Linked DNA regions of Oryctolagus cuniculus. The protein of the gene in region 4 interacts with the protein of the main gene of each other region in a biochemical or structural test. Links are inferred from orthologs where the notes say so. Each region holds a gene or a part of one and is shown on either strand. Other genes may lie near its edges.

The links.
Region 1: the proteins of NOTCH1 (region 4) and RBPJ form a complex in vitro, tested with the Homo sapiens proteins (5 studies listed by BioGRID and IntAct, with this or other methods). The link is inferred for Oryctolagus cuniculus from reciprocal best matches to the Homo sapiens genes NOTCH1 and RBPJ.
Region 2: the proteins of NOTCH1 (region 4) and JAG1 form a complex in vitro, tested with the Homo sapiens proteins (3 studies listed by BioGRID and IntAct, with this or other methods). The link is inferred for Oryctolagus cuniculus from reciprocal best matches to the Homo sapiens genes NOTCH1 and JAG1.
Region 3: the proteins of NOTCH1 (region 4) and MAML1 form a complex in vitro, tested with the Homo sapiens proteins (2 studies listed by BioGRID). The link is inferred for Oryctolagus cuniculus from reciprocal best matches to the Homo sapiens genes NOTCH1 and MAML1.
Region 5: the proteins of NOTCH1 (region 4) and USP10 form a complex in vitro, tested with the Homo sapiens proteins (2 studies listed by BioGRID, with this or other methods). The link is inferred for Oryctolagus cuniculus from reciprocal best matches to the Homo sapiens genes NOTCH1 and USP10.
Region 6: the proteins of NOTCH1 (region 4) and NFKB1 form a complex in vitro, tested with the Homo sapiens proteins (2 studies listed by BioGRID). The link is inferred for Oryctolagus cuniculus from reciprocal best matches to the Homo sapiens genes NOTCH1 and NFKB1.
Region 7: the proteins of NOTCH1 (region 4) and SNW1 form a complex in vitro, tested with the Homo sapiens proteins (3 studies listed by BioGRID). The link is inferred for Oryctolagus cuniculus from reciprocal best matches to the Homo sapiens genes NOTCH1 and SNW1.

Annotation. Positions count from the first base shown.
Region 1 is NC_091433.1:21,378,279-21,381,778, reverse strand, and holds part of RBPJ (recombining binding protein suppressor of hairless), read right to left. Parts: coding exon 3,464-3,500; intron 3,084-3,463; coding exon 2,980-3,083; intron 2,810-2,979; coding exon 2,497-2,809; 3' UTR 1-2,496. UniProt on the Homo sapiens protein: Transcriptional regulator that plays a central role in Notch signaling, a signaling pathway involved in cell-cell communication that regulates a broad spectrum of cell-fate determinations.
Region 2 is NC_091442.1:35,571,291-35,574,790, forward strand, and holds part of JAG1 (protein jagged-1), read right to left. Parts: intron 3,113-3,500; coding exon 2,999-3,112; intron 2,539-2,998; coding exon 2,492-2,538; intron 2,184-2,491; coding exon 2,010-2,183; intron 1,586-2,009; coding exon 1,435-1,585; intron 632-1,434; coding exon 467-631; intron 4-466; coding exon 1-3. UniProt on the Homo sapiens protein: Ligand for multiple Notch receptors and involved in the mediation of Notch signaling. May be involved in cell-fate decisions during hematopoiesis. Seems to be involved in early and late stages of mammalian cardiovascular development.
Region 3 is NC_091437.1:67,743,013-67,747,151, forward strand, and holds the start of MAML1 (mastermind-like protein 1), read right to left. Parts: upstream 2,801-4,139; 5' UTR 2,652-2,800; coding exon 2,319-2,651; intron 1-2,318. UniProt on the Homo sapiens protein: Acts as a transcriptional coactivator for NOTCH proteins. Has been shown to amplify NOTCH-induced transcription of HES1. Enhances phosphorylation and proteolytic turnover of the NOTCH intracellular domain in the nucleus through interaction with CDK8.
Region 4 is NC_091432.1:236,551,944-236,556,105, reverse strand, and holds the start of NOTCH1 (neurogenic locus notch homolog protein 1), read right to left. Parts: upstream 2,801-4,162; 5' UTR 2,617-2,800; coding exon 2,556-2,616; intron 1,420-2,555; coding exon 1,341-1,419; intron 1-1,340. UniProt on the Homo sapiens protein: Functions as a receptor for membrane-bound ligands Jagged-1 (JAG1), Jagged-2 (JAG2) and Delta-1 (DLL1) to regulate cell-fate determination.
Region 5 is NC_091449.1:66,213,584-66,217,628, reverse strand, and holds the start of USP10 (ubiquitin carboxyl-terminal hydrolase 10), read right to left. Parts: upstream 2,801-4,045; 5' UTR 2,684-2,800; coding exon 2,663-2,683; intron 1-2,662. UniProt on the Homo sapiens protein: Hydrolase that can remove conjugated ubiquitin from target proteins such as p53/TP53, RPS2/us5, RPS3/us3, RPS10/eS10, BECN1, SNX3 and CFTR.
Region 6 is NC_091439.1:62,714,509-62,718,784, forward strand, and holds the start of NFKB1 (nuclear factor NF-kappa-B p105 subunit), read right to left. Parts: upstream 2,801-4,276; 5' UTR 2,666-2,800; intron 1-2,665.
Region 7 is NC_091451.1:23,450,505-23,454,647, reverse strand, and holds the start of SNW1 (SNW domain-containing protein 1), read left to right. Parts: upstream 1-1,343; 5' UTR 1,344-1,457; coding exon 1,458-1,471; intron 1,472-4,143. UniProt on the Homo sapiens protein: Involved in pre-mRNA splicing as component of the spliceosome. As a component of the minor spliceosome, involved in the splicing of U12-type introns in pre-mRNAs.

The DNA.
Region 1 (3,500 bases), on a different chromosome or scaffold from region 4:
ACTTGAAAAGTCATTTTGAGCTACAAAGCTGGGTAGGGAATAGTTTGTTCTTCAAAAGCATCTCCTGTGTTATCAGCTGATTTTGTTAACACTTCTTGACTGACCATCTATAGGAAGTGGAGGAAACTTGTGGCCCATTCAAAGTAAAGCAGCATGGAAAACACCTTCACACTCCGAATACAAAGCACTGTATAGTAATTACTTCCCCAGACGTGACAGAGAGAATAAATACTACCCAGAAATAAGCAAGTTTGCAAGGAAAAGCTAGTGAACAGTTACAACAAAGAAAGATAAGGCCACAATGAGTTCTGCCCTTGATCACAGATTTCAGGTGTGAGGCAGGATTCATTTACAGGAGAGGAGTGAGTGACTGGAGCAGATCTGAAAAGGCGAGATATATATTTCTTTATTTATATATAGTATAATGCAGCCTGGGGTGATTAAAAAGGCTTGCAGTAAGAGAAAACCGCAACAACATAGATTTAACCACCTCGTGTGTTACAAAGGACTTTCCCCTTGAAAACGGAGGAAAAGGCAATTTGCAGCTGTTGGGAGCAGTATTTACAGTGGCAGAGTCTAAGCAGAAGACAGATGAAGACAGCAAAGCAGGGGGAAGGCTCCTAGCAAACGACGTCTACAAAGTCTAACGATGGAAACGTCTGGAAAATAGCCCAGGGCAGCAGAGACGCGGGGACGCTGCGGGAAGTTACAGTTTCGCACTCCTAAGGTACTTGTGGCTCTTGTTTTATGGGACAGTAAAAGCTTACCACGATCTAGAGGTAGATTTTACTCTAAGAAGGATGATTGTATTACTAGACTGCGTCCTGTGACATTTCTCACATGGCTCCTGTACTACTGTCATCCAACCAGTCTGCTGCAATTTCTAAGCTGAACAAAAGGCAGAACCAAAGTGCGAGAAGGGCAGCAACGTCCCACCGGCAAGGTGAGCGTGCGGGGCCGACACACGGCCCCGAGCGCAGGCACGCAGCAACCGAAAGGGAACGTCTTCTGAGCAGGAGACATTGGCAGAGGTGCTCAGTACTGGGGAAGAGGAGACCAAAAAAGGCAGAGAGGGAAACGGAAACGTGAGTTACATTTGCATTTGTATAAACTTACAACTATCTGTTTCTAAAGTACTGTCTTCCAGCTATTTGAGTTTATCACCTAATAAAAGCATCTTATGTTTGAAGGTTACAATGATGTTTTGGCCTAGGCTACCAAACAAAACAAAATGAAAACAAGAGGTAAAGGAAATGAAGCATGCTTCCGGCTGAGATTTTCCTCATTCTACCATAAGGGCACTATTACCAATTGATAGCAAATAATAATTCTCATGATAGCAATTTTTTTCCGTTTGCCAACAAGGCAGAAAAGACCCTGCTGAATGAAATCACTGGGAACATTCCAAGTTCAAAATAAAACGTTTAACTTACACATAATACAAGTTATGTACAATACTGGGGCGGGGAAGGACCTGAACACATTCTGGAGCACACAGATGTATTTACGTACGGGAAAAGGGGAGCCAACACTTCAAATACCAACGTGTTCTGTGCCATTAACTCATTAACTAAATGGCCACAGTGAATCCCACGTCAATGTTAGAACTTCTTGGATTACTGCTATAAATACAATTTCTTAAAAAAAAAAAGGGGGGGGGGGACGCGCAGAAGAACTCCCACAGTGTTGAGGACAGACTCTGGTGACGTCCACTGCATGTGGCAGGCAAGGCAGAGGCATTTCTTTTAAAGCTTTTGCACAGACTTCATTTAATCTTTAAAAAAAAAAAAAAATGCAGGCCTTTACAAGATTTGACTTGCTGAAATCTAAACGATTCCAACTCACGGAAAGTCATTAAGACTTCAGCTTACGAGAAAAAAAGAAGTTCCAGCCTTGGACCAAAAAACAAAACAGAACAGAACAAAACAACCTGGAATATGGTAATCAGCGATTAAACAAGCACGGTCAGGCTTGGAACCTGCATGTACTTTAGAGCAAAAGCTCCAAGGGGTGGGAGAAGAGCCTATTTGGTAACAAAGTGTACTATATATTGCGATATAAAAAAGGCATGGTGAAAATGTACCTTTTACTAAAGCTTATACAAGTTCCTTGGTCCGTAAAAACTAGGTTAATTTTTGCCTTCTAGTTTGCTTAACTTATATTCCAGCCACATATCTATTTCTGGCCCATTTAAACAAAACCAACCAAAAAGCAACCAACCAAACAACACAAAAACAATGACAAAAAAAAAAAAAAAAAAAAAAACAGCCAAAAATTCGATTCCAATAGTTTGTACATTTGGATGTTGTTTTTGTTTTACTGTGGCTTCTGCATTTCAAATCAGCACTTGCAGGTAACGGGGGCTTTGAACAGGATCACCTGGTATGAAAAGTTTTCCCAAGAAACCACAAAAAGATTGTTCTTTTTTTCTCTTTCCTTTTTCTGTCAACTTTTTGCCACCCTCGAGTCAGTTAGGTCCCAGCAAAAAGACGGTGGTTAGGACACCACGGTGGCTGCCGATGTGACGCTGGCCGCGTTGGTGCTGGCGTTTGTGTAACTTCCCTCGCTGTTTGTGTTGGACTCGCTGGGGGGCACTTGGCTGGAGCTGGCCCGGAGGATGGCTCCCGCCGCGCTGCAGTGAGGCCGCGGCCCTGGCTCTGGCGTGTAGGTAAAGGTAAGGCTGGTGGAATAAATGATTCCATCGTTCCGGACCAAAGTTACTGGAACCTGGACTGGCTGCCGGACCCATCGCCAGCCTTCTCGGAATGCAGAAATGTCTGGGACGACACAGAGCATGCTCTCCCCACACCTGTGAGGACAAGGAAATCACTTAAAAACCGCAGTGAAAACAAAGCGTGTTCCAGAGACTTCACAGAAGGTCATTTCATCTAACACAAGCACTGTCAGGACAGAACCTCAGTTCCCACACACACACACACACACACACACCCACGGTGACAGGCGAGTGTTAACAAGTACCTGTACATGGTTTCCGCTTCTACATCCCCAAACCACACTCGTAAATTTGGAGTGAAATTCTGGCCTGTGAGTTCAAGCATTGCTACGTCTCCGCCGCCGTTCAGCTGCAAGTCACAGCAAAATCGCAACACTCAGAAAACCCCATTTTTCATTAAAGTACACAAATTAGATTCTCATTCAACTGTCATTTCACTTGTGAAAGCTTGTAAAAGGTTCTGCTTGACAAACGCTTCTTTCAAATGGCACGATTACAAAGTTCGCTAAAACACTTCATGATTAAAGTGCAAGGGGATTTAAATTTGCATTTTCTTGCATGCAAGTCCCTCCCTCCTGTTTTCTTCTTCTTTATCAATAACAGAAGTAGAACAAAAACGCTAAATCACAAGATTTGGGGGCAGTTAAAATTACTGTGGAATACAATTATGCTGAGCCCCAGTCAAGAGTGGCCGCACAGAGCTCATGGCCAGCGTGGGAGCGGTCTTACCTGAAGACTTTCTACGACAGGCACCGGGGTGACTGGG
Region 2 (3,500 bases), on a different chromosome or scaffold from region 4:
TATCTGTGAAAGGAAGGAGGAGGAGAAGGATAACGAACTAAGGGGGCTGAAGGACAAGTCACGCCACAGCCAAGCCCTGCACATTCCCGGCATCTCAGCATGCTCAACTCCATGGGCACCGTTTTCCGAAACATACAGGCAGCTCAGTGAGCAGGGGCCTCCAGACAGTGCCTCCCCATGTGGTTTTATGGCCTCACTCACAAAGCTACTTAGGGGACACGGGGAAGAAACTTTTACAGAAGAGAGGGACCATCTATACTTGTAGGACTCCAGAACATTCCAGAACAGGCAGGGAGGCCCAACAAGATCTCGTAAATGGAACATGACCTCAGTCTCAGGTCCCAGATGTAGTAAGCCTTTGCCAGTCTCCCCAGTCTTCCCCTTTCTGGTTAAATGACTCCTCCCACCCCACCCCCAGGCTGGGCAGTGGCAGCTGTGGCCCATTCCCCGATGAGAGGGGTCTTACTTTCATGGCAGTATGTTCCCGTGAAGCCTTTGTTACAGTCACAGGTGAATTTGCCTCCCGACTGACTCTTGCACTTCCCGTGGGGACCACAGACGTTCGAGGAAATATACCGCACCCCTTCAGGCGTGTCGTTGGACGCCATGGCCACTGTGCAGCTGTCAATCACTAGAAGACAGGCTGGGGATCAGATCACAGCCAGGGACATGCACAGACATGGCTTTCCTAAGCCAAGGCCGCCATAGGCCAAGCCCTGTTTCCTGGAGAGGAGTGCCCTTTGGCTGAAGAGGGGAGAAGCACTGGGCGGCAATGTGCCCTGTCGCGCAATGGCAGGTGGGGCCGAGACACCTCGTGGAGATTGTTTTCTTAAAGCAGTCTCCCCCCTGCCTGTGGGCTCCTTTCATCCCACTCTGGCATGTGGTAAATGCTTGCTAAGGAAAAAACCTCCTCCCTCCTTAATCTCGCGTCAAACAAGACGCAAGGACAAACCTGCAGAAGCCTTTAAAAGGTTGTGCCGCCTACTACAGCAGCCACGGGTCATAAGTGGCTACTGGCATTTAAATGAGTTTCTAGTGACACTAGTTCACATTTCTAAATGTTCAGTGGCCACCGTGGCCCGTGGCTACCACACCTGATGACACAGTTATGGGACATTCCCCGCTGTTGCAGGAAAGCTGCTGCCCTGAGGAATTCAACTTGGGGTTGCCAATCAGCCCACCCCAGAACAAGAGTGAGAAATGGATTTCACATGCTCTCCCCTGGGCTGCCTGTAGGCAGGGTCCTCCCACTGCTGGGCCTGAATAGATTGTTTCCAGGTGTCCTGACTTCCCTCGGCAGGCAGACCATGGTAGTTTCAATCTGTCAGTCCTCCTTAGCTCTAGGCCCTTTCTGGCAGTACCAAGGAGAGGTGGCGAATTGGGGTGAAAAAGGACGAAGTCTGGGGAAAACCGGGTTCTGGGGGCCGGGGGTACCTTCACAAGGGGTCGTGCGGCAGTGGTCTTTCAGATGCGAGCAGTTCTTGCCCTCATAGTCCTCAGGGCACTTGCAGAAGTAGTCGCTGGCACGGTTGTAGCACTGGGCACCGTTCTGGCAGGGATTGGGCTCGCAATAATCTATGTCGAGCTGCAAATGTCAAGTGCAGGGAAGGAGGGAGGGGAAAAAAAAAAATCAAAGTAAAACAAGCGTCATGGCCTCTGCTCTGGGGCAGGAACATGACCCTCCATCTACTTCTATAAAGAGACACCATGTGTCGTATGTCCTAGGTCCAGGTATGTATTTGAAAAAACAGAGCAGAGAAGAGCACGCGCTGAGCCGGGGGGTGATGGAAATGGAACACAAGGCCAAACAGTATGGGCTACAGGCCTGAAGCAGAGAATCCTTCATCAACCTCTCCTGCCAGCCAGCATCTGTCTAGCGGAGCTCCTAACCAATAGGACGTTAGACACCACGAGACTCCAGACACGACAGTCAAGAGGGGGGCACGGAGGAAGAAGGGAGGCGGCAGCGCTGTGGCAGCTTGGCCGTCTGAGGTTTCATCAGCACTCACCTGACAGAGGTTTCCAGAGAAACCAGTGGGACACAGACACTGGAATCTGTTGATTTCATTCTGACAGTGACCCCCATTCAAACAGGGGTTGCTGGCACATTCATCGATGTCTTTCTCACAGTGGTTGCCTGCATAGCCAGGTGGACAGATGCAGTGGTAACCATTCACCAGATCCTGGAGGGGCAGAAGCGGTAGGAACACATGCTGACTCTGTGATCCAGACACAGGGCTTCCCCGCCTGTTCGCAGGGCCACTGCCGTCCAGCTAAAGCACTCCTAACTGCCTGAGGCCATAGGAATCTCTATGTCTTCAAAACGACCCCCCCAGGAGGCCAGGGAATGCGAGCCCCGGGAAACATCCAGAGACCCCCTCTCCACCTGCATTTCTCAATCTCAGGGGGACAGAGCTCTCCCTGCATCCCATATATCTTGAGATCTGCTGTCAATCACCCAAAGTTTGGATTCAAGCAGAGGTCTACATACCCGACAGGCGGCGTCATTCTGACACTGGCCAAGGCAGTCATTGATATCTAAAAAGTAAATAAGTCATCACATTAAAGAGGCAAGTTTTTTCACAACTTCTATAAGGGAACAAATTTCATATATACAGATGGAGATGCACAGTGAGGAAAGAGATTTACCCTGAAATATAGCTTCACGGAAAAGCCCCCTCAGCTCGGGACAGACCAAAGTTTCCCACCAAGGTCCCCCTGTGAGATGAGGCTCCCCCCCCACCACCACCACTGCTCCAGACTCAGGGAGTGAAACAGCACACCCTTGTCCCAGCCACCTTATCAGACTACAGCCAGGTTAGCAGCTATGGAGCCCGACAAAGCGTATGCTGGCACTGCTGCACTGACCACGACCTCTCCAAAAACATCCCCAGTTTAAGTGTTCCTTCCATGGCTCAAGCCTCAGAACTGCAGCCCAAGCAGGGCTGGGCAAGACCCTTCAAATCCCCCAAGTTCTGGGGGAAACCAAGTCACTCACTTATGTCACAGTTCTGACCCATCCAGCCGGGAAGGCAGTCACAGTAGTAGCTGGCAATCAGATTCTTACAGGATTTGGCATTTACACAAGGTTTGGCCTCACATTCATTTGCATCTGAAAGGAAACAAGGATGACCACTGAGACAGAGTTCTCTCCCCCACCTGCCCCCCCCTTGGAAAGAAACACCACAGAGTTGGTGTGAAATAAGAGACCCTTTAATAAGGCAGCACAATAAGAGGTACCAGGCTCCTCTATTGTGACCATCTGAGCCCCCTCCCTTGCATTGTCCAGGAAGGAGAGCTAATTGATAACTTCCCAGCTGCTGGTTACCAACCGGCCCCGCAACAGAACAGCAGAAAGCCACCAAGCATTTCTGTGCAAAACCCAGCACAACACTAGTTGCTGGGATTTAAATGTGCCAAAAAGAATGCAGACAGCTCATTCCTCATGAGATCATCCCCGTTTGGAACCCAGCTGAACGCTCCTCGGACAGACGATTGAC
Region 3 (4,139 bases), on a different chromosome or scaffold from region 4:
TTAAAGAGCACAGAGTATAAAGAAAACCTCCTGGGCTCATTCCCTGACAACGAGGAGAGAAAAGAGCCTGAAGCTCTGTCCCTGCTTCATCTCCAGCAGACGGTGGTCAAGACTTTGCCGCAGGGGTATCCCAAGAAGAAAGCCAGTAACCTCAAGTGAAGGTGAACACAACAGTGTGTCTGCACCCTTTTCAGGCACACAGATGGTTTGCTAATTCAGTACCTGGCTGTGACATGACTACCGCACACTTGGGAAAAACAAATCAGAACTTCCTTATGAAAGGAATATTGATTAGATCAGTCACAGAAGATAATGACGGCTGAAAGGGGAACCTTCTCTTTCCCACCTCTCTGTGCAAAGCTGTGCTCTGCAAGCTGAGACCCTACTTGGTAAAGGACTCTCCCTGGCTCTGAACTGAAGGAGCCAGCAAGATGGAAAATGCCACTGTTTTCTCTGCAATAGTTACCTTCTGTTCCTACAATCCCATTCCAAGGCCAAAGAGCTCAGCTATAATCACCGGGAGCCTGCGAAGAAAAAGAGCCCTCTTCCTAGCAGAGACTCAAAACAGCAATTCCTACTCTAGGGTTTCCAACAAGGCAGTCGAGAGTCAGGGCTTACTGTGGTCACACAGTAAGCTAACACCCAAAAGGATGACCAGCAAGCCAGACATACAGTCTAACACACTCAGGATTAATCTCTCCTCAAACGGCACACACCTAGGTTCCCTTCAGGAATCCACGACTAAAAAAAAAAATCATTTGACCCCCGCCTTCAAACAGAAGTTGAATCACTACTACTAAACTTTTAAGGGGAGGTTCAAGGCAACTGTTTGCACATAAAACTATTTTTTATGAGCTTTTATTATTTCCTTCACTACTCTTAGGGCTTTCCTTAAAACAAGAACTGTCAGTATAGGTGGGTCACTAAGTTAAGTCATTTTGCTTTTTGAGGCTAGCGGATGGGCGGCGGGATTAGGAAGTAAACCACCACCAAGTTTAAGGTGATTCACTCAACATGTGCTGGGTCACTCCCCGTATGCCTTCAGGAGCTTACAGTCTAGTTGCAAGTTGTGACCTAAATATGTGGCTATGAGCTAAAAATACATATCCCAGACCAGCTTCCGAAATGTTCTGACAAAGGAGATCCTGAATGCTGTGGGCCAGGGTGGTCAGAATCCACTTTGAAAGCAGGAAGGGGATGAGATGGGCCCGGCAGGATGGCGGGATTCTGAAAAGTGCGGACAAGAAATAGACAGCAGCTGGTCAGTGTTGGAAATACTTTCACATCCTTACTCATTTATTTCGAATTTAGCAAGACCCTTTGGGGAAATAAGAAGCCCAACAGACTCCCAGTTTACAAGAGAGCAAAGCGAGGAGGAGATGACTTGGCCAATGGATACAATAAGCAAACGAAGTGGGCTGCGAACTCAGGATTCTTTCTTCAAGCCCAGCAGCCGGGCTGGTGCTGGAGAGGAGGAGGTGCGCAAGAGCACCCAAACAGAAGCTCTGCAGGGGACACCACAGGCTGGTCAGGGCAGACTGGTCCTGAAAGACACGCCAGTTTGCCCTCTCCCCCTCCAGCAAATGAAGTCTCCAGAATTTAAAGAGGAAGGGAGAAAGAGCCTGAAGACTCGGCAGGAAGAGTGGCACCACAGTCTCCCTGAGATAATAAAGATGTGCGTTTAGAATACACTGAACACGCCGAACTGGTAACATTTGTCTTAAACTGTCAATGTCCAAGAAAACCACGAACAAAAATGCCCTTCTCTCCCTTTATGTAAATCCCTTTCAGGGAGGAAAACAGAGCAAACCTCTAACTCAGAAACTTCATTGAACACCTACTGGGAAACCAACCAATCTACCAACAACCATGTAACAGAGAGATTTAAAACAGGCCTCCTAAGTTAAAACTGGAGTTGTCAACAGTTCCGCAGGAATCTTAGGTACACAGTGAAATTTCAGGGCGGTCTAAACAACGCAAGTCAAAGAAAGATTTTTTGATTTCCCATTCAGAAGCAGTTTGGTAAACTGAAGGCCGACCGATTTCCATATTAAAGCCCTGACCCTACTTACAGCTCGGGACCTTGCAAAGCCCAAAGACTCAATCAACATCTGAAGAATAAATGCGGCCAGGCCTGCTGTGCTTCGAGTCCACACCGCACCGGCGACCTGACTGCCAGTCGGTTCCAAAATAAACCAACCCTTCAACAGCCCGGGCCTCACGCAAAGGGCGACGGTGAGGCCACAGTGCCACTTCCCGGAGATGACAACCGCCCGGCTCCCCGCCGCGTCCTCTCCCCTCCAGCCGGCCTTACTCACCGCGCCCGGGCGGCCGAGCTCCGGGCCGTCGGCGGCATCCAAGCGCGCGGCCGGGGCGGGCGCCGGGGCCGGGGCCGGGGCGGGCGCCGGGGCCGCGGCGGGCGGCTGCCGGTGCTTGCCGGCGCGCTTGGCCTTGGCCTGGATGCAGCGCTGGTGCAGGGCGAAGGTGTGCTGGCGCTCGAGCTCCAGGCGCTCGGGCGACACGGCCTCGTAGCGGGCCTCGCAGGTGCTGTGGTGGCGCCGGCACAACTCGATGCGCCGGCGGAGGCGCTCCATGACCGCGCTGTGCCGTGGCAGCGCGAACTCCGCCATGGGGCAGGTGGGCAGCACCATGAGCCGCGGGCTGCTCGGGCCGGGCCCAGGGCCCGGCCTCTCGGGGCCGGCTGGCACTGCGCGCTGCGCTCCCCGCCGCGGCCCCTGTCTGCCTCACGGCCGCGCCATGCTCCTGCGGCCTGCGGAGCGGGCTCGCGCGCAGCGGCGGACCGTCCTCCTGCCCGCTCCGCCCGACCCCAGGCCGATGCTCGCTGCCCACCTCAGGCCGCGGCCTGTCCCCGCCGCCCCGACCCCATTGTTTTCCGCGCCGCCGCCGCCGCCATCTTAAAATTGTTTTCGGGGCTCTCGGAAGAGGGCGGGCCGCTGCCGGCGACCTCGCGCGTCACGGCTGACGGACAGAGGTTCTGGCCAATGAGGGGAGGAGGAGCCGGCCGCCCGAGGGCGTGGAGACGAGCACGTAAGGGGCGAGCTGGGGCTCCCGAGTGGTATTTAAAAGGAACTCCAGCGCTCGGGGCGGGCCGGAGCGCTAGGGCGAGCCTGCGACCTGGAGGCCAAGCCGAGTGTGACTGACGGGCGTCCGTACTAGCGGTGACCAGAGGTTTCTTGAACGCCGCCCCCGAAGGCAGGCCCTTCCGGGTCCCCGGGGGAAGCGGGATAGACGCCGAGCGGCGTAGCCGGCTGCCTAGCGGCCAGCGCTTCCCCATTCCCCTCCGCCTTCCGGGATCCGGCCGAAGAGCGCTGAGCAGCCACGCTGTTCCAGTGCCGGCCGGTTTCCTCCCTCGCCCCTCGCATCCAGCCCCGGAGCGGCCCAGGAGGGAGCTGGTAGAGGGTTCATCTTGCACCGTCTCGTCACTGGGCCTGCCACCTTCCACTTATGTACAAAGTCTGAACAACTTTTCGAAGTTTGAGTTACTTCCGAAAAAAAAAAAAAAAAAAAAAAGACCGGCAGATGGGCGGAAGTGTGTGGAGTCCGACTTTCTGAGCCGGGACTGCGAGCGTAGTCTGTTGGGTAAAAGTCACTCTAAAACTGCTATAGATACCAGGAAAAGTAAAACTAAATGGTGTGGCAGAGGGTCGGGCAGGCAACGCTAGGAACACGTGAAAAGGTAAAAGAAGAGGTACCAGGAGGCTGCACTTTGAGAAACACTCAGCAGCTCATCAAAGTTTTATTTTTAAAACCCAGGAACTTGGCTTTGGCTCTGGCCCCACCCAGCCACGCCGTTGCGGCATTTGGGGAGCAGATGGGAGCCCTGTAAAAATAATAAAAAGTGAGTCTTAATTACGTTTTCATAGAAATGCATAGACAAATTCTAACTTTTTAGTGGAGGAGGGACACAAAAGCAAGAGTGCCTAGGACTAAAGAAAGCCCTATGGAGCCCCATTACCAGTCTTCAAACATGTACATTCTACACGGTGAGATTATTTAAATAGAGTAATAGTAACTTCAGAGTGCTACATTTTGTGTACTTAGGTAAGTAATCCAAAAGCCTACTAGTACATTAACTCTTGGGGGATAACTTTCAAAATTACCACTGAAATATGTAAGTA
Region 4 (4,162 bases):
GGGAACCGGGAGGCAGGGCGGCCCACGGGGGGGGGGGGGCAGTGAGAGTCCCCGGACCTGCGTCCCTCGGAGGCCCTGCTGCCCAGGGGTGGGGGCCTCTGCCCACGGCGCTTCCGTCCTGCCTTCCAATTGGCTCTGGGGGGTGGCGTGGGCACAATGAGGCCTCTGTGGCAGAGCTCGGCTGAGCGCCAGGCCCAACTGAGGCAGGCTTCCCGCCGGGCCCGGGCAGGGGACTCGGGGGGCGCGCGCCCGGCACCGCCCTCCCAGGAAGGTTCCCAGCCCTGGCCCGCGGAGCGCCGAGCGCCGAGGCAGCGAAGGGCGTAATTAATCACTCGGCATTAATCCGCCTCCCCAACAATAGCGGCTGCGCGGCCGCTGAAGCCCAGCTGTCGGCCCCTGAATGAAAGGAAACGAGATTTAGGGCCGCCAGCGTCCGCGAGGCTTCTGCACGGGCAGGGCAGCCCCAAAAGCCAGGGGGTAGAGGAGCCGGCATGCATTCATTAGTGCCTGACAAAGACACAATCCGCTTTGTCCATTAAACTGCACGCAGACGGCCTAATTGGCTTCGGCGTGGGGGGGGCTGCCGGCCCACAGGCCGGGCACCGGGGCGGCAGGAGCCGCCGGGGTTGCCACGGCAATGGGCCCTTGGGCGGTTGGAACGAGGGCGCCCACGGCTGGGGAACTCCCTCCGGTTCCAGACGCCTCTTCGTTATTCTGGTCAGGGACGAGCTGAACTTGACGGGCGCCGGCCGGGGGCCGACGGGGGGCTCCCGGGCAGGCGGGCGGCCGAGGAGGAGCACATTCCAAGACATCCCGGCCTCCGCCCGCCCACGCCACCCCGAGTCTGGGAGGTCAGAGGCTGCAGATGCCGAGACAGGAAGCAAACTCCCCGCAGGCGGCCCCACATCCCACAGCCCCAGGAGCTGGGTGCAGCCCGGCACCCCGGGCCCAGGGAGGGCTCTGGGCCGAGCAGGGGGTGGGTTTTGTTTGGAGCTGTTTCCTGCGCAGGGGAGGCGGCTCCCCGGGTGACACAGTGGGGGAGGACACACAGCACCCCCCCACACCCACCGTGTCCCAGGGTCTTCAGGAATCAAGGGGCGCCAGGGGTCGCCCCTCGACCCCGAAGCACACTGAGACCTCCAGCGGCCAGACCCGCGTGCGGCATAATTGCTGGTGATTAAGTAATTGCCAGGCTGGGTCCAATAAAAGTCAGCACGTGACCCAGCCGGCCTTCTGGGCTATCCCCAGAAGACAATGGCCCAGTGTTCCGGGCCGCAGCAGGCAGGGGCTCGGCTCCCCACCAAGGCAACAGGTCCCCGGCGCGACGCGGCGGTACTCACACGCAGGCCTCCGTGCCGTTGGCCACTTCACACCTGCCACCATTCATGCAGCTCTCCCCGGGCTGGGAGCATCTCGGGCCTGGGGAAGTGGGGGAGAGAGGGTGGTTACCGGGGCTTCCCGAGGGCCCACCCCTCGATTCCGGGGCATGAGCGTGGGGTGGGGAGCGGCCGGGGCCACAGCCCGCCCCGATGAAACCCGGGGGCTTCAGTGCTCTGGCCCAGGGTCTGTGCCCAGAGGTGGCCAGGCCTGGGAACAGGTGGGCGAGGCCAGCAGGTGAACTGGTGGGGAGGGGCAGCTGGAGCCCCCCCCAAGCTGGGTGCTGGGGAGCCCTGGAGGGCGGGGGCCCCGTCCAGCCACCCAGATTGTCTCGTGCGAACGCGATCTGCCAGGGCAGCCCCCACTCGTGGGAAAATGCGACAGCTGCGCCCCCGCCGCCCCGCCCGCCGACAAAGCGCCAGGCGCGGAATCAGAGCGGCCCATTGTCGCCGGGGCCGCCTCCGGGGCACGGGGACAGCGCCCGGGGCCGCCCCGCCTCCGCCGACACCCAATACCTGCCCCCGCGGCGGGCGTCTCCAGGGGCAGCCCCGCCACGGCCCCCGGAAGGCGGCTGCGGAGCGCGCGCGCGCGACCCCCGCGCGCGGCTGCCACGGGACGGGTGTGAGCTGGAACCCACTTTTTGGGAGGGGGTACCGGACAGGTCATTCTCACGCCCCGGAGTTCCCGACGGGAGCGCGCGGGAACCAGCGCCCCAGCCCGCGCGCCGCCCCCGCGGTTTCCAAACTTCAGCTGCGGAGAGCGACCGAAAACTCCAGTCCCGCCAGGCACGGGGGAGGCCTCGGCGCATCTCCCACCCCCACGCACCCGCCCGCGAGCCGGGCTGCGCGACACGCGCCGCGCGGCCCCGGACCCCGCGCCCCGCGCCCCGACATCCGGGCGCAGCAGAGAACACAAGCGGCCCCGACAAGCAACAGGAAGCCAGAGGGACTCGACTCAAACCGAGAAGCGGCGGGCGGCCGGCGGCGCGCCCCGCGGGGCCCCCACGGCCCCACGCCCGGCTCCGACCCCGACCGCGGAGCGGCGCCCCGACGAGGGGCGAGCGGCAGGGGCCGGGCCGCCGCTCCCTGCCCCTCCAGGGCCCGATCCCCCACGCGCGCCCGCGCGCGAAGTTTCCGGGGAACGCGGGGAGTTGCGGGCCGCGGCGGGCGGGCGCCTACCTCTCGCGGCCAGCGCGGGCAGCAGCGCCAGGCAGAGCAGGGGCGCCGGCAGCGGCCGCATGCCTGCCCGTCGGCTGCCCGCTGCCCCGGGCGGCGGCTCCCACGCACACGCGCGCCCGACGGTGCGGCGGGCGGGTCCCGCTCCCTCCCGGCCGGCGGCGCGCTGCGCTCTCGCAGTGTCCGGGCCGGCTCGGCGGCCGCTCGCCCCTCCGCAGCGCCCGCGCCCCTGCGCTCCCGCCCGCGGCCGAGGCACGAGTGAGGCGCGGGGCCGCGCCGCGCTCCGCCCCCGCCGGGAGAGCCGCCCCCCGCCCCGCCCCGGCCGGCCCCGCCCCGCGATCCCTCCGCACCCCGCGCCCCGTCGCGGGCCGCGCGTCCCTGCGCGCGCGCCCCGGGCGGCCCCGCGCCCCGCGGCCTGGGGCGCGCGTCCGGAGCCGGGCGCTGGGCGGCGGGGGGCCGCGGCGGCGCGGGGCGGGCGGCAGCGGGCGCCCGGGGACTACTTCTCGCTCTCAAGTTTTCGGAGGCCGAAAGTTTGAGCCGGGGCTGCGGAAGGATCCGCCCGGGCCGTCGCCTCGCGCGGCGACAGGGGGGCGCGATTTGCATCTCAATAGCCGAGGCGGCGCGGGCGTGGCGGGGCAGCTCGGTCCGGCGGGGCGCTGGGCCCTCGGAGCTGGGCCGGAGCGAGGCCTGGCGCGGGGCTCGGTGCGAAGCCTGGCTGCGTGGTTGGCCCGGCGGCTGCGCCCTCCGGGGCCTCGAGGGTAACAGCCCGGAGGATGGCGCCCAGACCCCCCACCCCCAACCCCGGTCACGATGACCTTGAGGGCTGATGGCGCCGGGGCCCCTGGAGAGAGGGGCCAGGGCCTGGCGCGGGCACGCGGTGGTGCAGGGAGACCCGGGGCTGTCACGCGCACAGCTGCTCCCACGTGTCCCGTCGGGCGGCCGGTTTTCCGCGCGGCAGTGCTAGCGCGTCCCAAGTGTGCCTGCCTTGGCCAGTTCACGCCGCAGCCGGGGCAGGGGGGCGCAGAAAGCTGGGAGCCGAGCGGGGCAGCCCTGGCCCAGGGGGGCGCACGCAGGCTGGCGCTCTGCGCACCTGACCCGCTGCCTTCTCTGGGCACACCTGTCTCCGGGAGACGCGGCGGCTCTGCGGCGGGGGGCCCGCTCCTGCCTTCCCAGAGCCAGAGCTGGGGTAGCACCTCGGGGTCAGCGCCCCGGAGGCAGCGCCGCCATGTTTATGTAACAGAGCCCTGCAGCCCATAGAAGGAAGAGCCGGGCTGCGCGGTCCGCACCCGGCGCCGCCCCTGCTCCCGCCGGGGTGGGGAGGGGGCCGGGGCTTCCGCTGGAGCCCTGCAGAGTCCCTGATCCCTGGGGCGGCCTGAACGGAAGGAGGGGAGCCCTGGCCTGGGGTCCTCCCCAGCGCTGCGGCCAGCACCTCCACTCTCAGCCTCTGCCCTCGGCCGGCAGGGAAGAAGGTGGCAGACCACAGACAGGGCCCTGGGTGTGCAGTAGGAGGGAGGCCCCCAGGGCCTGGGGCTGGGGCACCCACGTGGCAGGGGCTGGGCCCTCATCCACGCAGGAATGAGGCTCTGCGACCCCCGAGCCCCTCTTTACGG
Region 5 (4,045 bases), on a different chromosome or scaffold from region 4:
GCGCTGCCCCCCCGCCCAGCTCTTAACCCAGCCAGTACTGACAAAACGGTCCCGGAAAGACCTCTGCGTGACCACACCGATCACCAGGAAAAGTGCAGCCCAAGCACATGCGAGTCTTTGGAAACGACACCTACACTGCTGAAGTGGCACTAAAGTGACAGATGACAGTAATCCAGCGGCCCCAGGCCAGCAAACTCCACCGCAGACAGATTTGTCTGCTTTGTGCCACGGTGATTCCTGCATGTGCGGCAGTGAATAGAAGCGGGGCAGCCGCGTGCAAATTCAAGAGCAAGCACGTCCTAACCCTTCACTCTCCAGCAGGCCAGCAGGAGCGGCGCCCTCAGCAGCCAGGCTTAACGGGGAAGCAGACCTAGCAAGAGTCACCTACAGGTCTGAAATCTGCATTAAAAATATATAAAAAATAAAAAAGCAAGAGGCCAGTGTCACGGCGCAGGAGGTAAAGCCATCGTGTGTAATGCCAACTTCCAACATGGGCACCGGTTCGAGTCCTGGCTGCTCCTCTTGTGATCCAGCTCCCTGCTAACGGCCTGGGAAAGCAGCAGAAGGTGGCCCGAGTGCTTAGGCCCCTTTACCCGTGAGAGACCCAGAAGAAGCCACTGCGGCCATCTGGGGAGTGTCCAACAGTCGGAAGGTCTCTCTCTCTCTCTCTGTACATCTTCCCTTTGCTCTCTGTAACTCTTCCAAACAAATAAATAAATTTAAAAAAGAAGGCAAAACGAAATAGCCTCACTGTAACTAATTCGAGTGGAGACGACCCCGGTTCCCCCACCCCTTGAGTGTGTTCTGAGCACGGCATGTGCCCACGCCCCCAGGTCTGGGCTGAAAGCCGGCGTCCAGCCTCAGGGCCACGTCCCTTCCCCTGACAGCGCTGGAACACGGGCCCGGCGTCTGCTCTGGAGAGGAACCCAGAGGGCAGGGGGCCACGCTTCTCTCAGGGCCACTTCAGAACACTCTGGGCCCAGCCACACGGAGGACAGGCCCTGGATGGGGGCCGCTGGCACCAGACACGCCACGCCCACTCAGGTGACAGAGAACACACACCTGTGGCATCGCATCTAGTCTCGGGATGCGCCCTCTACATACAGTCAGTACCCCAGCACACTGCAGGAATGTCACCACACCCGGCGGGTCCCCACAGCCCCCAGGGGATGAAGACTGGGGGGGGGGGCGCTCAGCGCTGTGAGGCTCCGGGGCAGGGAGGCGTCAGCCAGGCACTCGCAGGTCCCTCGGGACCACAGACACTCATGGAGCAGACACACTTACTCTTCAACAGGGTTCAACCCTCCCAAGCCAGCGGCACTCAAAATGTTTCCAACTTCACTGCTCCACTTCCGCGCAGGGAATGGGCTCAACCAACACTTCCCAGTATGATGGAAACAGGCTACAATCCACACAAAACTGTAAAACTGTAGCCTTAACAAGTCGGTTGTAAAGGAGGCTAACTGGGGCTGCTACTGCGATAGCTACCTCGTACCGGGTCAGCCTGCCTGGCTCGGGGCTCGGCGATCGCTGCTGAATGAATGACGGGGCCCCAAGCGCCCAGACTCTCGGGACAGCGTGACCGAGACCCGGCCGGTCCAACAGCCAAACCCTGCTCAGGACGCCACTGCTTCCTTCCACCACTCTCTTTTAGACAGGAAAGGAAGAGGGGTCCAACCGCGCTCGGCCCCGAGGCGCAGGTCAGTCTCGCGCTGGCCAGAGGCACAAGTCCCGGGCCACGGACGCAAAGGCCATCGCCAGGAGGCACGCGTGGCCTCCGCGAACGAGCCCGGGCACCGAGTATAGGAAGTGCGGGAGCCTCTGTGCACGCGAAGCCCGCAGAAACGCACGCCAGGCCTCCCGGGGGAAAAGCCCGCGACGCACCGGCTGCCCGGCGACCCGAGTACCGGGAAGTTCCGACGGCACGCCGGAGCGGGCGCCCCAAGAGCGGAGCCCCCCGAGAGGTGCTGTCCGTGCATATTTAAGGAAAGGCCCGCGGCCCGCCCGGGGGAGCCGCCGCCAACAAAGCGGCGCGGCAAGGCGGGAGCTGCCCCGCCGCCCGCCCCGCACCTACTTTGTGCCGCTCTCCCACCTCTCATTCAGAGGCGCGCGGCGGCCGCCCAGGCGCCGGCGCCGGGGCCCGGGGCTCAGCCGGCGCCCAGCCCGGGGTCCACGGCCGGCGCGACCCCCAGCCCGCGCCCCGCGCCCCCAGCACCTCCCCCCCGTGCGCGACAGGGGACCCCCGCCGCCGCGCCCCCCGCCGGCGCCGCCCCGGGCCCCGCGGCACCCGCACGCCCGCGCCGCTGTCCTCAGCGGCCCCGGCCCCCGGCCCACCCGCGCCGGCGGGTCCCGCGGGGTCCACGGCGCTGGGGGCGGCCCGGGGGCGTGGGGCGCGGGGCGCGGGCGGCGGCGGCAGGCCCGGGCGCGCCGACGGCGCCGCCAGAGACCCCGGGGCCGCGCCGCGCCCCGCTCGCCCCGGGAAGCCGCGGGGCCGGGGACTGGGGAGCGGGAACCGGGCGGCGGCGGCGGCCCCGGGGCCTAGGCCCGGGCGGCGGGTCCCGCGCCCTCCCCCACCCCACACGCTCGCTCCCGGCCGCCCGCGCCCGCGCGCGCTCCCCCAGGCTCGGGCCCCTTCCGGCCGGGGGCGCGGGCCGCCGGCTACCTGCGGGCTGCGGAGGGCCATGGCGGCCCGTTTGAATGGGACTCGGCGCGGCCCGGCGGCTCACGCTGCTTCCCCCGCCGCCGCCATCTTCTCGCCCGCACATACACACTCGCATCGGCCGCCGCGCCTGCGCACTGGCGGCGCGCCGCGGGGCGCGGGCGGCCGGGGCGCTGCTGCGCGTGCGCGGCCGGCAGGTGGGCGTGCGCGGGCGCCTCCGGCCGGGCCGGGCGGCCGCGGGAGCCGGGCCGGTGGACTGTGAGCCCCGCCGGCTCGGGCAGGTGCGGGCCTGATGGGGAGAGGGCGTGCAGGTGCAGGGGGAGCTAGTGCCCCCAGCCCCCGGGGCCCTCGCTGCTCCAGGAGAGTCTCCCTTGGCTGATCAGACCCCCGAGGAGGGCGTCTCCAGATTAGCGGAGTCGCCCTCCCGTGCGTTCGTTCACTGCTTCCCTCGCGGTTCTGCCGGGGCCCTGGCTCCGAGCCACGCCTTACGCGGGCATTGCAAACCCAAAGCCAGAAGCACCGAAGCCAGGCACACAGGTGAAGCGCCTGCCGTGAGGCCTGGCCACCATCCTGGGTCCGGGGAGCCCCCCGAGCGCGGGCTGCCACCGTGTGTGCGGCTGTCACGCGCCCACGGGGAGCCCGGGTCGAGCAGCCCCCGGTGATGCATCCTGCAGCCGGCGCAGCCCCAGTGGCCGGGCAGTGTGCGGAGGAAGCGCTACAAAGACGCCGCAGTGAGATACATTGGGTCTCGGTGGAATCCCCAGTGTTGCAAGCTGGTGTTACTGTTTGTTTTCAGGATTGGTTGTCAGAGTTACAGAGAGAGAGAAATCTTCCATCCGCTGGTTCGCTCCCCAGATGACCCAAGCGTCCAGGACTGGGCCAGGCCGGAGCCAGGAGCCAGGAGCTGGATCCGGGTCTCCGACATAGGGGGCCCAAGTACGTGGGCCGTCTTCCGCTGCTTTCCCAGGTGCATTAGCAGGGAGATGGGCTGGAAGTGGAGCAGCCGGGACTTGAACCAGAGTCCCTGTGGGATGCCCGCTGCTGGCCCCTGCGGCTTGTTTTGTGATAGACAGATCAGAAATCGGGTTACATATAGATGATGAGTGAATTACTGCTGACTTTCATCACGTGATGATGATGTTGAGCTTGTGAAGAGAATGCCCCCAGGCCAGCATTGTGGCGAAGCTGGCAAAGCCACCATCTGCAAGACCAGCATCTCATATGGGTGCTGGCTCCTGTCCTGGCAGCTCTACTTCAGATCCAGCTCCCCACTAATGGCCTGGGAAGAGCGGCAGAGGATGGCCCAAGTGCTTGGGCCCCTGCTACCCATGTGGGAGACCTGGAAGAAGCTCCAGGCTCCTGGCTTCAGCCTGGCCCAGCCCTAGC
Region 6 (4,276 bases), on a different chromosome or scaffold from region 4:
GCCAATTAACCACCTATACAAAACAACCGTCCCACTAAAAGACAAATCAAGGAGAAATTTGCACAGCTGTTGATTCATATGTGCCCATATGAATGTGAATCCTGCTCAATCTGTAGACAGAAGAGCGTAATTTGAATATTTACTCACTGTTAAACTGCTCTCTCGACTCTTGCAGATCTAACTTCCTACAGCAGTCACCTCCTTGAAAAGCACATCTACTAGTATGTTCTGAAGGTAAGATATTTTGAGCACTCATCAAAAATCTGTATAACAACACAGATAGAATTACTTTAACTTATGGTTTTAAACTGTGAACTACTTTTCTACTCTTTGAGTTCAAACTAATTGAAGGTTAGGAAGTAACCACTTCCCCCCAGAAGCCAGAACTTTCGCCTCTTCTGAACAGGGGAATATCTCACTTCAATTAGGTAAAAATAAGGGTTTGCTGATTGAATCATTGTCCAAGATCCATGTAAGCTGCCAACTGTTTATCTAAATTTCCTATCTAACACAATGGGCAATCCCTCAAAGTCAGGGCAGTAACTTACTTCATCCACTACCTGGAACTCTAAAAACAGTAGCAAAAACAACCTGCATAAATATTAGTTACTCAATCTAGTTTCAATTTGTTTCAAGGAACAATGATAAGAGAAATGCAAGGACTATGATCAGTAGATCTATAAACCTGCCTATTTCAGAATAACTGAGCTTTAACCAACTCCAACTCAGTCATCACAAATGATATTGTTTAAGTGGTAGGAGTAAAAGGAAGTGCAAAGATCAAAGGAGTGCTCACAAAGGGGAACAAGACCATTTTTATGGGTATACTCCTCATTTTACTGAGTTTGAAAAACAGGAGCATCTACTCAGCCCACGTGAGGGCCAACTGTAGCACAGAAGATAAAACTGCAATTTCAAAACTAGGATAACAGATTTGCAAATCACCACCAACTCCTAATAGGATTATACTGTTTTCTTAAATATGTTCTTCAAGTAGTTTAAAAGTGGTACACTTTCCACAACAAGCAGCAGTTAATTTCCAGCATTAAAACCTACATACAATGAGTCTTCTGTGTTCAAGTTGGCCTACTAGGCTGCCCAAGAAGACATTTTACCTAAACAAGTGAAGGAAGGCATTGAGGAGTTGCAGGTATATCAATATGGATGAACAGTTTTATGAGATTTCCTGTTTCCATTTCATACACATATACACACCCTTCATTTTAGGAATTCAATTCCATGATAAATGTAAAATGCCAAAAGAAACACACCTCTTTTGATTTCCTATCTTCCTGAGCTCATCAGCTCAAAAAGCATTTCACTTTATTTACCTAATTTCTTTAGTACATAAAACAATAGAAGGATTCATCTCTAGAAAGCACAATATTAAAATCAAGAAAACAACATACTTCAGCTAAGGGTTTTATTTTAATTAAGTTTCCTTCTTAAAGTTCCAGCACACACTAATACAGTTAAAACTATTCAAGAATATTCAGTTGAGGAATCCTGCTAGAAAAATAATTATTGATAATTTTGTTTTCAAGTATTAGTATTTACCAAAGATCTTCAGTTTGTAGAAAAACATTCTGATGCTAGAACTATTAAATATTTTAGCAATACCATAACATTTTTCTCAGATTATAAGCTTTATAAGAAAACCTTGGAGTTAAACAATGTTATTTCATAAGCTGCAATGCTGAAAACCTCTAGTTAAAAGATCAGAAATTGTCCTCAGTCTTGATAACTAAATCCTAAATCATTAAGTACCAGTTAAGTTGCAGGATAGGCCAAATTAAACACGTCCATCAGAGTCTATTTTAAAAGCTCATAAGAAAACTTATCTTTAGAATAGTCTTGGTTTATATCATGAGTTTGGTTTTCGAGGTTAGGCACAATGCACGATGCCACTGTCCAGAGCTTTACATAATCCAGTGAAAAGTGCTCTAAGTGTGATTTCTCATCTTTCTCTAACGCCAGGCCCTGGAGGATGAGTACCAGGCCCCCATTTTTTGAAAACTAATGCGCAGGTCCAACAGCAGGTGAACAGATTAGGCCCTGTCGCTGTGTGTGTGAGTGTGCGTATGTATGTACACACGCCGGGCACTTGTGGGAAGCGAGGGCTTCTCTCTTTCAGAAGTCCAATAGGGAGGAATAGGCTCTCCTGTTTAATTCTGGGAAGCTGGGGAGGGCTTTTCCAACCTAGAGAACTGACAAGCACTTCTGCTTTCATTTCATGGAACGCCCTTAGGTGAAATCTGGTTCTGCACTGCACCAACCACCTTCCCCGATCTCCTCCGCGCCGCAGCGTACCCCAAACCTCCAGACACCCCCAGACAGAGACAAGGGGTGTGGATTAAAAAAAAAGTTTCCAAGAGTCGCTTCTGGTACCCGTGCTCGCCGGGCAGCGGGGCTCAGGAGACTGGAGGGTTCCGGCGGCCGCGGCCCTTCGGCCGCACAGCCCCGCGCAGTCCGGATGTGCCTTCCCCCCAGTCGCCAAAGCCCATGTGCCTCTCAACTACTGTCAACCTCCTCCCACGGTCTGGCCCAGCGGTTAGCGCAGGAATGAGGAAGGCCAAGGGGGCGTACCGGGGCTGCGGGCCGGGTGGGCGGCGGGACGCGGCCCCCAGTCCCCAGCGAGGCCCCCACTTGCCCGAGTTTGGCTTACCCTGGTGGCGGGTCCGCGCGCGGCCTCCCGGCGCCTAGGGGCTGCCCTCCGGGGCGGCGCGGGCCTGCGCGCTGGCGAAGGAAGAGGCAGCAGCCGGCTGGAGCCGGCGCCCGAGCGGGCCCGGGTGCGGGTCGGAGCGCGGGAGCAGGCGCGCGGTCGGACCGGGCCGGGCCCGTCAGCGCCGCGCCATGTCCGCAGCGCGGGCGGAGGCAAGCGCGGGGCGCTCGGCAGCCGGGCGGCGCTGCACCGCCTTCCTGGCCCGGCGGCTCCGGCCTGGGCTGCGCCGGTCTGTGGGCACGGGGAGGCAGGCGGCGTTCAGGCCAAGGGCGGCGGTGGCGGTGGCGGCGGCTGGAGGCCCGACCGACGGGAAAGGCAGGGGAAGCTGTCAGCGCGTCGCCGGGCCGCTCCGGTGGCGAAACCTCCTCTTCCTGCCCGGCTCGCTGGTGCACTTCTCTCTCTTGCTCTCTCGCTCACTCTCTCACTTCCTGGCTGGAAATTCCCACTGACGTCGAGAGAGAAGACCGACAGACGGACACAGGCGCGCACGCCGCGGGGGCGGGAGGTGGGGTCGCCGCCGGGGGTGGGGAAAGCCCGCACTTGTGGAGGCGCCCCGCGCCCCCGGTCCGGCCTGGCGGGGCGGCTCGGCTCCCGCCCCTGGCGGCAGCGTAGAGACGCGGAGCGCGCTCAGGCGGCCTTGGACGCTCGGGTGGCCTGCAGGGCTCTTGCTGCTGGCCCGGCGCTCTCGCAGCCTGGAGGGCTGGGGGCGAGCGGGGACGTCCCCAGGAAGCGCCTGCGGGCCCGAATTGTCCGGGCAAGCAGGCGGCGGCTGTGGGAGCGGGCGGTCCGGAGTCCTGAAAGGCAGGCCCGAGCAGCTGGCGGCGATGAGGGGTCGGCATGCATCCAAGCCTGCCAGCTACAAAAATAAATCTCATCTGTATGTTCCATTTAAGTCCGTCTCGGTTACACCCGAATCTCCTCACAGAGTAAACTGGAATTCCGATAGCATAACTGACTTAGGTCCAATGCAGTAGGAACATCTTCTGGGCGTTGGCGAGGTCTTTAATCTCCTGGTTTTGCGCCAGTTATTCACAGCTTCCACCCAGAGCTACGGTCGGGCCTTTTGATGATTACCGTGGATAGAATGAGAGTGAGGGTGGCAGCGATGGTTTTGGTTCACGGGTCATAGGGAAATCTTGATTTGGCAGAAAGGAGTTTTTCTTTTTACCTTTCTTCCTTCCTTCTTTCCTTCTTTACTTTTTTGCTGGGTAGACTGCTACTGGCCCCTGCAGACGGGCCTCCCCTTGACCACCATTCCTGGATTTGAGCTGCTGCCCGCACCTGACACTGCGCTAAGCACGGGCTGGGGAGACACTATGGTAGGTTAGCACCCCAAGAAAGAACTCTGAGGGGGGGCAGCATCCCATATGAGCACCTGTTTGAGCCCCACTGCTCCACTACCAATCCAGCTCTTTGCTAATGCACCTGGGAAAGCAGCAGAAGATGACCCAAGTATTTGGGTCCCTGCCACCCATGTGGGAGACCCCAGTGGTCTTCTGTGACCACTTGAGGAGTGAGCCAGTGGGTGAAGAACTTTCAAAACAAATAAATAAT
Region 7 (4,143 bases), on a different chromosome or scaffold from region 4:
CAGTTCGAGTCTGGCTGCTCCACTTCCAATCCAGCTCTCTGCTATGGCCTGAGAAAGCGGTGGAAAATGGCTCAAGTCCTTGGGCCCCTGCATCTGCGTGGAAGACTGGGAAGAAGATCCTAGTTCCTGGCTTTGGATCTGCGCAGCTGCAGCCATTGCGGCCAACTGGGGAGTGAACCAGTGGATGGAAGACCTCTCTTTCTCTGCCTCTGCCTCTCTGTAACTCTGCCTTTTAAATAAATAAAACCTTAAAAAAAAAACTAAAAGCTAATCAAAACTAAAAGCTAATTAAATCTTTTTTTGAAAAAATAATCTATTTTTTATTTGAAAGGCAGAATTACAGAGAGAGATGGAAAGACAGAGAGGGAGGTCTTCCACCTGCTGGTTTACTCCCCAAATGGCCATAACAGCTGGGGCTGGGCCGATCCAAAGCCAGGAGCTTCTTCTAGGTCTCCCACGTAGGTGCAGAGTCCCAAGCACTTGGGCCAAACTCCGCTGCTTTCCCAGGTGCATTAGCAGGGAGCTGGATTGGAAATGGAGCAGCTGGGACTTGAACCGGCATTGCCTGTACTGCAGGTGGCAGCTTAACCCACTATGCCACAGTGCTGAACCCTGATTAGATCTTCAAACTAAATCTGTCACAGTTTTGACTTTTGACAGGTCTTTGTTCAGAAGCTCAGTCCAAATGAATGGCCTCCTATAAATCTTACTGAATATATTAAATCATATATATATAATGTATGTAGGTATATACATATATATTTATACACATAAGGAATATTCTCAAAGTGACTTGCTAAAGAACACAAAAATACAGTGGGTCTTCAAGAGGTTCATGGAAAATGTATATTATTATAAAAAAAACTGTCTAAATTTCAATTTTTTTTGGTGCATAAAATAACTATATTTTAATTCCCTTTTTTTCTACCAACGGTTTGAACTATCCCAGTTAAATCCCCAGGAGTGTTTGGGGAAGAAAGGGTACTGGTTCAAGAACAGTTTTCTGATTGTGAATGTTCTCAGAGCGTCCAAGAACGCTCCGGTCTCACGATTTCCTACCGTTTCAGAAACCCCATTGTCCTCCACTCAACTTGCTTCGGGCAGCCTCTTATACTTAGACACCTCTTCTAGGTGAATGGGTCTGAGCGGGGGAATAAAATAAAGGCGTTTAAAATGCCTCTCCCCCCACCCTCGTTATTTAGCCAAGGAAATGTCCTGTCATGTGACAGTAAACGAGTAATCAAGTTAGCCATTTACTCTTGACTTCAGGGGCCGTCCTGTAAAACCCCACGGGTCAGAAGAGACCCGAATTGTACTCACGTTTAAACAACTACAAGTCCCAGAAGGCTTTTCGGCGGCGGCGCCTGCGCATCGCGGGTTCTGCCCTCTTCGCTCCTGGTTGCCGGGAAAGACCCGCCCCGCGGCGCTGTCGCTCGCGTTAGAAGAAGCGGAAGAAGATGGCGCTCACCAGGTGGGTTGTTGATTTGGGTCCTTGATACGGAAGGGTCTGGTAGTGCCCCTCTTTTTCATGTCTCTGCCCCGTCGTCTCCAGCCAGGGATCTGGCTTAGGACACAGGAAGAAGAGAGCCGAGAGCTTGGCGAGGGCCTCCCGCCGGTCGCCGCGGCGGCTAGGCCTCCCCGACGCTGGGGTCTTTCCTGAGCGGCCTTGGGTTGAATTCGGCCCCTGGGCAAGGCCGAAACCCTCGGCGGGACCGCAGAAGCTGGAGAGCGGCACGTGTTTTCCGCTGAAGCCCCTTGCGGGTGTGTGGAGCGCGCGCCCTGGGGTCGGCGGCTCCGCGGGACGCGATGGCACCGTGGGGAGCGGGGCTTGCCTACGCGGGCGGAGGGAAGCGCGCGGGACGCGACTGCGCGACGCTCCGGCCGTTGTTCGCTTCTGGCTCTCTCCTTTTCTCTATCCACTCTGTCGCCCCGAACAAAGCTTCCCGAAAAGGGGGATCCGGAACTGATCGGGGAGTCTTCAGTTAGCCACAGTGGGGGCCGCTGTGTCCCCATAGGCGCCAGCGCTCCGCACTTTTAACTTTGAACCTTAGAATTTCTTCGGTGAAATCGAACCACCTTGGAGCGCTGCTGTGCCCGGTTGCCTTGGTAACCAAAGGCCAAGCGCTCCCTTCCTTTAGGAGAAAAAGATGCTCTAAGCGGGAGCTTCCGAGAAGTTACATAATTCCCTATGCGTGACCTGGCTGCCCGGTCTAAGTAGGCAAACTTTCCCCGCGAACTCATCTGGAAAAGTCGAGTGTGAAAAAATGGGCTGCAAAGGAAGCTGTCATTTTAGGGCGTGAGCTTGAGCTCCCTGACCATGCTTGGTTCTCCTCAAGCGTCTTCAGCCAGGCCGATGACACTGAATTTAAAAAAAAAAATTTACGCGACCATTCTTTTGGGAATGACGTTGAGTGCCTTGCTGTATTCAGGCGTTACGTATCCAGGAGATCTGTCTTTAGCTGCAACGCAGATGGGGCCCAAGGCATACAACTATCAAAGTGCTCATTTACATAGATGATAGTCTTAGTGCAAAAAGCAATTAGATGAAGAGAACTGCGTGGATCAAAGAGTTTGCTTTAGAAACTGTTACAGGTAGGTGCGAGGCATTGTGACATAGACAAGTAGGGTCAAGAGAAAAAGTTAGAATTTGAAGTGGATATGCAGGGAAAATACCAGGGATGTTGAGGGTATTGTGTGCTTAAAATCGCAATGGCAGAATGCAGTCTTTAAGTGGCCAGTCTTAGCAACTGTGTTGCTTTTCATATGCTATTTGTATACTTTTAATGTCCTCTATAATAAATCGGTAAACGTTTCCCTGAGTTTTGTGAGCTGGCCTAGCCAGTTGAACTCAAGGAGGGAGTTGTGGAACCCCAGTTTATACCTCGTGGGTGAGGAGTATACCCTGAGCACACTTGAAATTGGTATCTGAAGTGTGGCAGTCTTGCAAGACAGCCCTCAGGATCTGTCAGAATTGAATTGAATTGGACATTACCTGAATGTCTGGAAACTCCCCCCACATCTGGTGTCAGAAGTGTTGGGTGTGTTGTATTGGTTGATGAGTGAGAAACTTTTTCCTATACTTTTGCATTCCTATCTGTGCAGAGCTTGCCTTCTGGTTATATGAGTGAAACAAATCAATAATGCCATTTCAGGTACCAGGTACTGGGAAGACAGTAAAGGGTTGGAGGGTGACTCCAAGTTTGGAATCAAGTGGCTTTTTTGGACAAGGTGGTCACAACTTTAGGAAGGTGTAATTAGTTGAGCAAAGAGATGCGCTGCTAAATGCAGGCTGCTAAAAAGTTGGGGAAGAGTTTGCTGTAAAGGAAAATTGCTTTTAGTAAGTAAATAGACTATGTCATGGTAGAAGGAATAGCAAAGGTAAAGCTCCTGCAATGTCTTTTTAGGGAAAGATGACACGACTGTAGGGACATCAGGATGATGAGTGCGAAGTATCGAGTGAGCTATTTTCTATCTTTAAGGAGCCCCTGTTAGCTGGACAGTTACTGGGAAGTTGGGATGAAAGAAGTTAAATCCGTGGGCCCTGCCTCAAAGTTTGTGATGGTGCTGTGTGAGGATAGATGACTGCACTGCAGTGAGGTGGATATTTCTAGTGATGAAACACAGAGATACACAGAAAGTCTTTTTTTTTTGCCAGGCAGAGATAGAGTGAGAGAGAGACAGAGTTATAGACAGTGAGTGAGAGAGAGAGTTATAGACAGTGAGAGAGACAGAGAGAAAGGTCTTCCTTCCATTGGTTCACCCCCAAATGGCTGCTATGGCCGGCGCATCGCGCTGATCCGAAGCCAGGAGCCAGGTGCTTCCTCCTGGTCTCCCATGCGGGTGCAGGGCCCAAGCACTTGCGACATCCTCCACTGCCTTTCCGGGCCACAGCAGAGAACTGGACTGGAAGAGGAGCAACCGGGACAGAATCCGGCTCCCCAGCTGGGACTAGAACCTGGTGTGCTAGCGCCGCAGACGCAGGATTAGCCTAGTGAGCTGTGGTGCCGGCACACAGAAAGTCTTATGGGAACAGAGGTAGAGATAGCTAACCCAGACTGAAGAAATCATGCAACAGACAGGATGCCAGCTGGTTCAGGAATTTTTTCATTTAATACTTATAAGGTTGATAACTTTCATGATCTA